Linked DNA regions of Kluyveromyces lactis. The protein of the gene in region 2 interacts with the protein of the main gene of each other region in a biochemical or structural test. Links are inferred from orthologs where the notes say so. Each region holds a gene or a part of one and is shown on either strand. Other genes may lie near its edges.

Region 1 (3,752 bases), about 1.4 Mb from region 2:
GCAAAGTTATTGGTTTTTAGGATCACCTTCTCGCTCCTAGTTATGTGCACTAGATATCTCGCTATGTCATATTCATTGGTAGTTGGGTTTGTTGATTTGGTTTCTGACTCCAAATCCTTTTTATACTAAAATCTAATTAGCCGCCATCATTTTGAACGTTTTGATAATCCTTCCGAAGCAAACACACTAATAGTAGAAGAACTAATGACAAAGTTGAGAGCTTGAGTTCTATTATGATTTTGCTAGTGTACAGATCTACAAGATACTTAGAAGTTGCTATTTATACATTGTTTTTGTTGCAATTGGTTGGTAAGAATAAAGACTCATAAGAACAAGACTCTTGGGCTACCGAAATCAAACGAGTATTGAATATAATATGAACTGGTGTATCAATGTAGAGTTATTGTGTGCAGATGCGAAAAGGGTGTTTGTGTATGAAATAGAATTTGTTATCTGTTGAAGTAGTTCTATCAAAGAAGGTAGTTAATACTGGTAATGAATAAATTAGAATTTCATTTTCCATGGTTGAGTTTCTCTGATCTTCAAACCAAATCTCTTATCCTCGGACAATTGAGCCAGTTTGAATATACCTGCAACGATATTGCTTGCAGTATCCATAGAGTAAACAGAATGAACCCAGTTAGATTTTAGGTTTCCGCTGATTCTTAGCAACTCTTCATCACAGATGGCTACAGTGACACATTGACGGACCACAGGAACTGGCGTAGAGTGTTTTTTTAGCAAGGATTTCAACTGTAGGTTGGACAAACCTAGTTTAGGTAGAGGAAGCTCGAAACCTGGGTATAAACCTTTATTCTTTGCCATGGCGTCATAACTTGACACACCGGATGGGTTTGTTAGATCCAAGATCTTAGCCCAAGGAACGTGTTTTACGATGGTGACATCTCTGTCGATTGTTAGGTAGTTGTTAGAAATTTCAGAAAGACCTAATCTGAATGGCTTGATTTCTTGCTTGATGGTTTCGAAATCAGGCTCCTGTACGTCCAATGGGAAAGAATCAGCGATATGAGCTAATTTGGTAGGGTATACACCTTGTTTATCCAATCTGGTCAACACTTGTCTAGCAGCTCTTAACTTTAGAACATGGCTCTTTGAAAAATCACGGCAGATGGCACCTGGTCTAGCCACCACATCAGAGGATTCAGATTTACCGGAGAATTGATCGACAGTGTGTAAAGTGATCAAACCTGGCTCCAATCCTTGCAATGGAGCCAACTTCAAATCGATCATGTAAACTTCACCCTTGACAACGGTAAAATCATCTGTTGGGACCACGGTATCTTCGGTGATAAATGGGTTCTTACGCTTGACATCAACAGCAGTTTCATTGACGGTTCTAGCAAGCATAGCAGCTTCCTGATGAGACTCAGTCCAAATGACACCTTTGAAGTCTCTTTCGACAATGATATTTTCGTTTTGACCAGAAAGGAATCTTTTGATTCTTCTGATACGAGAACCAGGCACAACGCAACAATTATAAGATTGAGCAATGGTGTCAACTACGGTCCTAATCAAGGAACCAGTGACCTTCGTAGCGTTGAAATCAGCTGGAAGTTTGGTCAAATCGTTTGCAGCAGCTAATAAGTTAGTGACGGACTCAACAGCGATATGGGTGGCAGCTAGAGCATCAGCTTTACCACCTAGCAAAGCAGCTTCAGGTAGCAATTTTCCAGATTGGGCATCCTGAACGGTTGGGTAAATGACCACGGTGTGGGACACGTTACAAGTGTACCCATCGATGTGACAACCCAAAGTGATCTTAGCGACATCACCAACTTTCAAAAACCCAGACAAACTAGAAGTAACACCGTTACATAGCTCGATCGATTTGGTAGATCTAGATTTTTGGTTCCAACGGGACAAGTTTTCGATGTCATCCACTTCAGGACACCAGTTCTCGTTTATTTCATCGATATCAATACAAGTTGGCATTGAGATTCCCTTCTCGTTAACCTTATTGTTGAACTTAGTACTTAAACAATCGGCTATGAACGAATCAGTCAATAAACAAAGTTGATGAATCGGTAGCGGCTCCATAGACTTCTCATGATACATCTTATTGATCAAACTGATCAAAAAGTTTAAAGCAGTCTGAGCAATTTGACCTGCAGTTCTATATTTCTCAATTGTTGGTTCGATCAATACATTCTTATCTTTCAATAACACCTGAGTGTCTTCCTTTGAGATTTGTAACGCCATAGTACGGATAATTTTATCCACAAATTATTAGTATTAGCTGTTTTCTGATACAAAGGAGGGAACGATACACTATGATAATGATGTAAGTATGTACCTCGTTTCTCTTTACCTCATCTCATCTCATCGCTTTAAAGTTTTCACTGATACTTTTTTTTTCCAAATTTCTTTCCTGGATACAACCTTTCCTGCCACACAGCACTAAGATATTTCAAAAAATTTTCCAAAATATTACCCGGACCTCGATCAGAAGAGAATGAAAAAGAAATCACTTTCTGATCACGTGCGCCAAAAGTATTAATATTCGGGTAATGTGTATCATTAGAACTCATGACCCGCATATTATCCGGGTAATAGATCTGCTGCCCATGTTCCACCCAAACACCGCGCTGTGCACGTCACTTTTCCCACTCTTTCTAACAACAATCCCGTCTGTCTAATTGAATCAGCACAATAAACTCTACCTACACCAGACGAAACTGTCAGATATCCCATAATAAGTAGAATATCAATACTCTCCGCATCATCAGCTACCCAACGGTTCAAGTTTGACCCCAATTAGAGCAAAATTGACCTTGCTTATACCCACTTCTTGTTATTTCAAGTCCCTTATCTATACCGACTGGCTGGCTACGAAATTTTTTGAAGTTTTTTTCCCAAGTTCACAAGTATTTAAAGGCGGATTTAATTGTGAATATGATGAGAAACAGTTGTTGCGTGATTAAGAACCTTTTTTTGGTCTTTCAGTGATACTGAGCCAAGCAATTGATTAATTGACTGACTGATTGATTGATTGATTGATTTTTGTCAAATTTTTTGGAACAAGGAATCGTTCATTAGTTGGCTTTTTTTTGTTTTAATATAGAATCAGGAACTCAGAGCTTCTTCTTCTTTATTTCTTCTCTATACAACATATTTTGCCATCACTACTGCTGAGTGTGTATTTGTGTGTTCTAATTGTTGGTCGCTATAGTAGTTAATACCGAAAAGAACAATAAATTAGGCAAACCATGCTATCTTTGAAAGCTCAATCCTCTGTGGTTGGGAAGTCCAGCTCTTTGAGATTGGTTAGAAACTTTTCTAAAAACGTCCGTGCTTTGTCCCAGGTTGCTGATGAAACTAAGCCAGGTGATGATGACCTAGTTCAAATTGATTTGCCAGAAACCTCTTTTGAAGGTTATCTTTTGGATGTTCCTGAATTAAGTTATCAAACCACCAAGTCCAATTTGCTACAAATGTACAAGGATATGATTATCGTTAGAAGAATGGAAATGGCCTGTGACGCTTTGTACAAGGCTAAGAAAATTAGAGGTTTCTGTCACTCCTCTGTCGGTCAAGAAGCCATTGCCGTTGGTATTGAAAACGCTATCACTAAGCGTGATACCGTCATCACCTCTTACAGATGTCATGGTTTCACCTACATGAGAGGTGCTGCTGTTCAAGCTGTGTTGGCTGAATTGATGGGTAGAAGAACTGGTGTGTCCTTCGGTAAGGGTGGTTCCATGCACTTGTACGCCCCTGGTTTCTACGGTGGT
Region 2 (4,256 bases):
TCTGTTCCATTTTCTTTTGTGGTCCGTCGTCAGTATTGAAGATTATGAATTTCAATTCACCAGATGAGGTATCATCTTCTTCCATCTTTTGGCGATTGATGATAAGGTTTTTGAAAGACTTTTTGTCTGGATTAAAGAGGAGTTCTCCGGTAGTTAAAATAGCCTCATCAGTAGATGCAGTGAAAATTGAAGAATCCATAGGCTTTCTTGTTAGAGCAGTCGAACTAGTGTCTTCCTCCTTGGGTTTTGATAGTTTTAGATGAATTTTAACCTTTCTGGAGTTCGGTTCCGACTTTTTAGAGTCAAACAAGGGTTTTGGAAGCAGCTTGTATGCTGCGGAGAGGGAGTTCTTTTTCTTCAAGTCTGCAGAAACCATTGTGGCACTAGGCTTAGTTGGTTGAGTAATGGAATTAGGAATAGAGATAACACGGGAGAATAGCTCATCCGTACCATATGGATTGGAGTTCGCTTGTGCTGCTTGCTGCTGGTTTTGCATTTGTTGGTTTTGTTGCAAGGAAGATGAAGAGAATAAACCACCTGTATTTGCATTACCAGAAGTGTTGTTTTGTGATCCAAATAATCCTGTCGAACCAGTATTTGCTGGCTTATTCGCAGAAAATAAACTTCCGCCACCAATTGATGAGGCATTGTTCGTGTTTGTTGCGCCAAAAGGTGCAGTTCCGGCAGGTTTTCCACCGAATAATCCACCTCCAGTGGTACTACTCAAACCACCTGTTGGTTTAGTGCCGAAAAGGCCACCAGATGTTGACGCACTATCAGCTGGTTTGGCACCAAATAGACCACCAGTAGCCGTATTCTGCTGTTGTGTGTTGCCTCCGAATAACCCGCCGTTGGTAGCTCCTAAAGCGTTAGTGCCGGAAGGTTTGGCACCAAAGAGACTACCCGATGATTGACCTTGTTGCTGGTTGTTTTGACCAAATAGACCCCCCGTTGCTGTGTTGTTCTGGTTGTTATTTTGACCAAACAATCCGCTAGATGTATTCTGCTGCTGACTACTTTGGCCAAATAATCCACCAGTAGTTCCTGTTGGTTTTGCACCAAACAATCCTCCGGTGTTGTTTGCCATACTGTTGTTCTGCTGACCAAATAAACCACCGGTGTTAGGTTGCTGTGTTTGTTGGTTCTGATTACCAAATAACCCCCCCGTTGCAGACGGTTGATTACTTTGTCCGAACAATCCGCCAGATTGTTGTTGCTGATTATTTTGACCAAACAGCGCGGAACTACCACCCATTACAGTTTTATTTTGAGCTCCGAATAACCCAGTTGAACCTTGTTGACTTTGGTTGTTTGATCCAAACAGGCCACCGGTAGTTGGCTTCGCACCAAATAATCCTCCGCCCTGTTGATTCATGGAGTTGCTATTTTGTTGTCCGAAAGGACCGCCAGTGCTAGCTGCGTTACTTTGTTGTCCGAATAATCCTGTACTGTTTGTGTTAGATGGTTGTTGCTGTCCAAATAAACCTCCGCCAGTATTGGTGTTGTTTTGTCCAAACAATCCACCCGCCTGAGTATTGTTTACCTGACCGAATGGAGTAGAATTAGCAGCATTTTGTTGACCGAAAGGAGAGGGTCCGTTCTGTGCTTGCTGACCGAATAAACCGCCACCTGTAGTTCCACCTGGTTTTGATCCAAATAATCCACCTGAGGTGTTATTATTCTGACCAAATGCGTTATTGGCGTTACTTTGTTGACCAAAAAGTCCACCAGTATTGGCCGCTGTGGTGTTATTTTGTCCAAACAAACCACCCGGTTGATTGTTGGTGTTTGTTTGGCCGAAAGTGCTCCCAAAGGTGTTTGAACCAGTATTTTGACCAAATGCGTTACCTGGGTTTTGCTGTTGGTTTTGTTGACCAAATAATGAGTTGTTGGCTTGACCAAATGCGGAATTATTATTGGTGGTGTTTTGTCCAAACAGACCTCCAGAGGTAGCCGGTTTGTTTAAACCGAATGGAGAAGAACTTGAAGCAGTATTTTGCCCGAATGGAGAATTATTCTGCTGTTGTCCAAACATGCCAGTTTGCTGTTGCTGCTGTGGTTGGCCAAAGGGAGTGTTATTAGGTTGTGAAAATGCATTTACAGGCTGTTGCTGGCCAAAAGGTGAATTTGCAGGCTGTTGACCAAAGGGAGTTGCGCCACCTGCACTGATGGTATTTTTATTTCCTAAACCAAAAGTGTTGTTAGTACCATTTGTCTGTTGTTGACCGAATGGCGAAGCAATAGCAGAAGCTGTCGGACCTCCAGCAGTGGTGCTAAATTTCCTATTTTGTTGATAATCTTGGAACCTCAACTCTTCAAACGAATAAAGGCTATATTCAGGCATACAAGTAATAGATTGAAACACCGATGGATATCCAGTTGACACATCCTTTTCCGTATAAGGTTGGAATGGCTTGATTCCAGTGCCAGAAGGAGGTCCAGAAGAGAGAACGCCTGTCGCTGTACCACTAGATTGGCTACCACCAAACAGGGATGGTGGGTTCGACAATGAATTACCTGCTGCTGCTCCTGCTGCTGCCCCGCCAAACGGAGAAGTAGTTGTATTTTGCTGTTGTGACATACCGAATGGGGAATTTATAGTTTGCGTAGGGTTTGTATTAGCGCCGCCGGTACCAAACCCACCAAACCCTGATTGCGCGTTGTTGGCAGAGCTGGATCCAAACAGATTGTTTGTGGTTCCACTATGCTGTTGACCGAACGCATTGGTTGTTGACTGAGTTTGTTGGCCAAAAGGAGAAGTACTCGTCTGTCCAAATGCCGGTCGAGAAGCACCAAACATCAGTGGGTCAGGAAATCAAGTGAGGTGACAATTGATGAAAAAGCTGACTAGGAATAAAATAATATGTCCTTCAATGACACAAGTAATCTCTAAGTAGATAATACCAAAGTCGTAGCGTTTTGGTTCAATGGTATTTTTCTGAGAAATAATTTAAAGATGAGTGAGTGTCCTTGTTCTCTGATTGTGAAAGAAGAAACACACTAATCAATTAACGATCTATAAAAAAATTTCCCACTTTACGCACTGTATGAATACTTTTATTGGTCTCAGTTGCTGATAGTATGACTGAAAGACAAATACGACAAATCATATAAGCCGAAACATTGCTTGCATCAACTTAGAAAACGTTAGTTCTTTATCATCAATTAGTTGTTTACTTCAAGGATAAAGAAATTTTCAGAGGTGAGGGATGACCTAAAATCGTATTAAGTGACATAGCGTACGTAGTGATACGTAGTTTTGGGGGATTGTGATGTAGCAGTAATTACTTGAGCACAAGGGAACAGCTGCTAATGCAATTCTGAGTTGGCTCCCTGTTTGAAACACTTAATTCCAATATGTTATATATAATGAATTCCGTCTGTTAAATTACCCAAAAAGTATATATGTTCTATATAGTCGAAAGAAATGAAAATAAAATGAGAGATAAAGCCAGGCAGTAAAGGCATTAAAAGATGCATCTCTCTGGTATGCAAATCTTCGGTAGACACAATAAAGTAGATGTGAAACCCCCTTATTGGCTTTAATACCATAGCGTCATAGGCTCTCTAGGCCATTCATTACCTCATTCATAAGTAGATAATTCTTCAAATTCCTGGGCTTTAACGACCCTGTCGTTAAATCCACGATCAAATCTTCCTCTTCATCAGAATCACAATAGTCTTGCTCTAGGTCTGGAGTCGATCTGGGAACTGAATTTAAACTTTTGAAGCATTGTACTATCACCTGGGAAACCTGCTGCGTATCTTTGGCTTTTCCAAAATTGTCTGTGAACATTGTTGAATATTGTCAAACGGGGACGCTAATGGGTATATTGTAGTAGGCGCTTGTTAAGCCTATTCGGAGGTCGGTATCCTGTGTTACTCCTTATTATGAGACGTCTTTCTTACACTTTTTAACTTATCAATACAAGATACAGACAACCTCGAATCTATTACATAGGCCTTGTCAACAACTGAAAGGTTATTCCTTATATATATATAACCTCCATAAAATATACTACAACAAGATAACAATAACACACTAACAAATTGTGGTTAAATCTCTGAAACAAAATGGACCACTTCTGTGGGCAAAGGAATCAAAAGGCAGCCCGTTAATGTGCGTTATCATTTGACACTTTCACAATAACCTCTCAGCAGGAACTTCAAACACCGATCTTTTCATCAGCCTAAGTGAAAGTACCGCAATAAAAAGTGTGGCTTTCCACTCATTCCTCAACAGAGCATGTGACATG
Region 3 (4,491 bases), on a different chromosome or scaffold from region 2:
TCAATTTGTTAACCACAGACTCGGTCAAACCATCGGTGATGTCACAAGAACCCAATGTGGCTGAAGACTACATGTTACCAACTAGTCATAAGAATTTCAAGTTTAAATTGATCGATTTCCCAGGACATGACAAGTTCCGTTCTGAGCTGCTCCAAACCATCAAGGATTCGAGTCAATTGAAAGGGCTCATTTATGTGATTGATTCTACTATTAATCCTAAGGAATTGGTCAGTACTGCAGAACTATTGTATGAAATATTATCTGTCACCGAATTAAGACCAGACGGAGTTGACATCTTGTTGGCATGCAATAAATCTGAGTCATTCGTGGCAAGACCTCCATCAAAGATCAAGGGTGCTTTGGAGAAGGAAATAACTGAAATCATGAAGAGAAAGGCCAAAAGTTTGAAGGCAAACTCGAAAAAGTCCTTGAGTGACGATGCTAATGACGATGATGACGATGAGGTTGCTGTTCTTCAACAAAACTCAGCCGGATTCGAATTCGATAGAATTGATGGGAATGTAGATGCTAAGGAGGGAAGCGTTTTGAAAAATGATATTGATAAGTGGGAATGCTGGATTGATGAACGTGCAATGAATTAGGCGATCTGCCTTGTTGCCTTTCAGGAATTTTTTTCCCATATTCATATATAGCACATTTAATAAAGCCATGTAATGAACTGTGAACGATTGCGATTTGTCATATCCTTTTCAGCCTTGTTGTTTGGTCATTGAATTTGAAGTTAAAGGTTAAGTATTGGTATGCGTTGGTTTGTCTCTTGTCTTCGGTACATCACTGCAATCATTCCATAACATTACAGCAACTGAGGTTCCAACGATTGAAGTTCCAAGTAGTAACAGTAATATAGGGATTCCAACTGCATATTGGCTAGATAATGGGAAAAGTGACACTTTTTGATCAAGATCAAATATAGGTAACAGTAACCAAACACAATAATAGATAAAGAGTGCTAAAATAATAGAAAAGGTCTTCATAGCTGCAGATATTAAAGTTCAAAATAAGAGCAAATGATCCTATTACAGTATGATATTGTTGCCATTCACTTCATTCAGTGGTAAAGATGCAATGTTGATCTCGAAGTCAGAAACTTTTAACACTACAAGGTGAGCGCGAAGTTCTCACACGGTATCCATTCAATTTTCCAACGACATAAATAAAGGTGGAGTAAATGATACGAGAGGAGGAGTCTGGTACTGTTCTAACTTCTTGTTGTCATAACAGTTGCTCGCGTGGCGTAATGGCAACGCGTCTGACTTCTAATCAGAAGATTGTGGGTTCGACCCCCACCGTGAGTGCTTTATTTTTAACCACTTTTTTTTAACTTAGAGAATGAAACCGCTACATCAGATCTAACATAACTGCACTTCAATATCTATCTGTTGATAACTAGCACGAGAATATCAGCTGTCACTCAGTACTTACAATATGTTTTTCATCTTCACTAGTGGTTGTGAAGGTATGTTCTCGATTCGCAAATGATGGTTACCCTCGTTTTACTTTTACTGTTGATAATTTGGTTCCATTATTAAAAATTTGAAGTAAATAATAGTAAATAAAATAAAGATATACTGAATTTACATCAGTAGGGCTGATCTAGTGATATCATCAACTGGAAGCTACGAAAGCCTGTACTGGTCGAAGTACTGTGTGACATATAAATTCAATAATGTGGGCACTTTCACCCTTTGCCTCCTTGTATGAATCCATACAGAAAGCTGATTTCCGTACCGATTTGTTCAATGAGTTTGTATCTGATTTGAAGACGTTGAATTTGACTGATAATGCTAAGAAAAATGCTGCTAAGAGACGCGAATTGGAATCCGGAGAAATTAAGCTATCCGATGGATCAGTGTACAAATTGAATCAGGAGTTCATAATAGAAGTAATCAAGATTTCCGATGAGCTAGATCTTGATGAAATTGTCTGTGCGGAACAAATATTAACTGCAGAGGACTCGTCCCAAGCTGTGGACCAGGACATATCTTTGCATAACAAGGGTCTACTGATATACTATCTCAGAAGACAATATATTTTACAAGTGGTGGCATACGTTTTGAATGCACTATCCTCTTCAGATGATGTTTTTCAAACACTTACCAGTGATGGGACTCTTTTAAACAATGTTTTGCAAGCATTCAACACAATCCATAAAGAACTAGAGGATGTGAAGGCACTTGTAAATAAGGCACAAATCCTTGATAATTATGATGTGGTTTCGAAACAGAATATTACGTTCAGAAGGGATTTCTTGATCAAAGAATATGACACGTTAGGTACTGTTCTTTTCGGTTTGTCCAAAAATAATCTACTCTCTAATGCAACGGTAATACAAAAGGTTATTGACCATGTTACATCGCTAGCCTCTGATGATTTTTTTATCATATTTTACCTACCTGCTATAATAAATACTTTCAAAAATTTGGCATCCTTCTCCTCCAGGGATGTTGAAAGTTTGCACGCCCAATTCCTCAGAGATTTAGAATCCGAATCAATATACACTAAACCCACCAAGGTTGTTCTCATCTTCATCTTCTTAACGTTCTTTATAGGCTGGTGCAAAGCTGAACCAACTACAAGAGCAAAGCAATTCGACTTCGCTGTTGCTGTAGACCTTCCAATGACTTCTGCAGTCGAATTGGGGGCAATCGAACAGTTGATGGTATACGCAGCAGAAACTTCGATGGTAGAAGCAGATAAAAGCATGGAGTTATTCTTTGACATACGGTCCTTGCTAGAGAAGCATATTCCAAGAATGTCACCAAAACTCTTGTTAGATCCAGAGTACTCAACCGCAGTAAGCACCAAAACTTATGTTGATGACCCTTCTACCAAATACTCAAATTTATCAATTTTCGACTATGGACTCGATAGCTTTCTATCCACTTTGCATGACTTCTTTCAAGCTTTTATTACAGACTGTGCATTCCTCTTGACAAAGATAAAAAATGCTGAGGAAGATTCTTTATTATCCGGTGAGGATCTCTATTTGGATGACATCTCAGCGAAGGCGGACCTAGAACGATTTTTCATTACCATATACTTCTTTTATGCATCTAGACCGGAATATTCAAGCTCTTTCTGGGATGACAAAGAGTCTAATCTCTATGGTTTCATAGAATGGGCTGCAAAATGTAACGATACTTTGATGAAAGCATGCTTTTACTTGATGATTTCCAGTTTGTCATATGGATCTCAAAATTCTCATAATGTTTATCATTATGTGGAGAGTAATCAGCATAGTTCCTGGAAATATATTGCACATAATATAAACGAAACAACCGAAAAAATTACACAACTTGAACAGAAGTTACAAGATCTCCAGCAAAACGGCGCAGCAACAAGTGAGATCAATGCGGTGGCAATTGAAAGTGGGTTAAGTGAAGAAACAATTATCCTGTTGTCTTCGTACTTTACCTTGGTTGAATCTATTGCATATAATGTTGATGAACAAATAAAATCGCAATTAGCTAACACATTCGAAGACATCCTCTTCAGTTTCCTCAAAGTAAGAAGTCCTTTACTAGGTGCAGCGCTAAAAGTATTAAGTCATTTGATCCCTAAGGAAGAAACTCAAAGGTACGGTTACTGGACCAAACTAGACCGACTCATTTTCAAATCATACCCGTTAGATTCAACAGATAGTTCCTATATTGCAGCCTTCAACTCAATTTTCACTGGCTACTCCGAAGTCTTAGGATTTTTGCAATTGTTCTCCAGATTGGTGTCTGTGGGAACAACTAATCATAGTAATGAGTATATGAAGTTTGGTAAACTAAGTTTTCCTGTGAATATTGGATATGGATATAGAAAGACAGGTGTATGGCCTTATTATGAGTATATTTTGGGTAATATTTTCTTGAATGATGAAAAGGCAGCTACCAAAGACCAGCAAACAGTCAAGAACGTTTTGGTTTTAGATATTATCAAATCTTCGCTTTTATCATTTGACTACAGCGTTATTTTGAACTCCGTTTCCGTCGGTTGTAATTTGGACTCGTTTGTACAGACTTCCGACTTCTATTCCTTTGTCCAACAATCCAATGCTACTGCCACAATGAACTACTTGTACAACGAAAAAGTGTTTTCAAAGATCTTCAAAATAGCCTCTATAGGAATAGATGAGCTGGAGAGTGAACTTGGGCGTATTTTGAAGCCGAAGTCGTTGATGGTCAGGGATTCACTATATATCATTGATATTATGCTAACACACGAAGGAACATATGCCGAGGAATTTTATCCTATAGTGAAACGCTGCTCTGATAACTCGGTGTTTCTACCCAAAAGTATCAGCATAAGAGGATTGCGTTTCTTCTATGACGCTATCTTCTTCAATCTTCCATTGACAGCTCACTTCGGTCTTTATGTTGGTAGCACTAATTTTGACATTTCTTTGAGCAGTATTAGCATTTTAAAGAAGTTAGCGACTAAATTGGACTCGGGAAATCCTAGAGGTCTCCACAAAAGTATATT

The links.
Region 1: the proteins of NUP116 (region 2) and ARX1 form a complex in vitro, tested with the Saccharomyces cerevisiae proteins (2 studies listed by BioGRID). The link is inferred for Kluyveromyces lactis from reciprocal best matches to the Saccharomyces cerevisiae genes NUP116 and ARX1.
Region 3: the proteins of NUP116 (region 2) and NUP192 form a complex in vitro, tested with the Saccharomyces cerevisiae proteins (2 studies listed by BioGRID). The link is inferred for Kluyveromyces lactis from reciprocal best matches to the Saccharomyces cerevisiae genes NUP116 and NUP192.

What each region holds. Positions count from the first base shown.
Region 1 is NC_006042.1:1,098,202-1,101,953, forward strand, and holds ARX1 (putative hydrolase), read right to left. Parts: upstream 2,221-3,752; coding exon 505-2,220; downstream 1-504. Other genes in the region: PDA1 (pyruvate dehydrogenase (acetyl-transferring) subunit E1 alpha), read left to right, coding at 3,228-3,752. UniProt on the Saccharomyces cerevisiae protein: Probable metalloprotease involved in proper assembly of pre-ribosomal particles during the biogenesis of the 60S ribosomal subunit. Accompanies the pre-60S particles to the cytoplasm.
Region 2 is NC_006042.1:2,465,791-2,470,046, reverse strand, and holds the start of NUP116 (FG-nucleoporin NUP116), read right to left. Parts: upstream 2,801-4,256; coding exon 1-2,800. Other genes in the region: KLLA0_F26686g (uncharacterized protein), read right to left, coding at 3,557-3,796. UniProt on the Saccharomyces cerevisiae protein: Functions as a component of the nuclear pore complex (NPC).
Region 3 is NC_006041.1:1,034,533-1,039,023, forward strand, and holds the start of NUP192 (Nup192p), read left to right. Parts: upstream 1-1,687; coding exon 1,688-4,491. Other genes in the region: SRP102 (Signal recognition particle receptor subunit beta), read left to right, coding at 1-602; KLLA0_E11727g (uncharacterized protein), read right to left, coding at 750-995.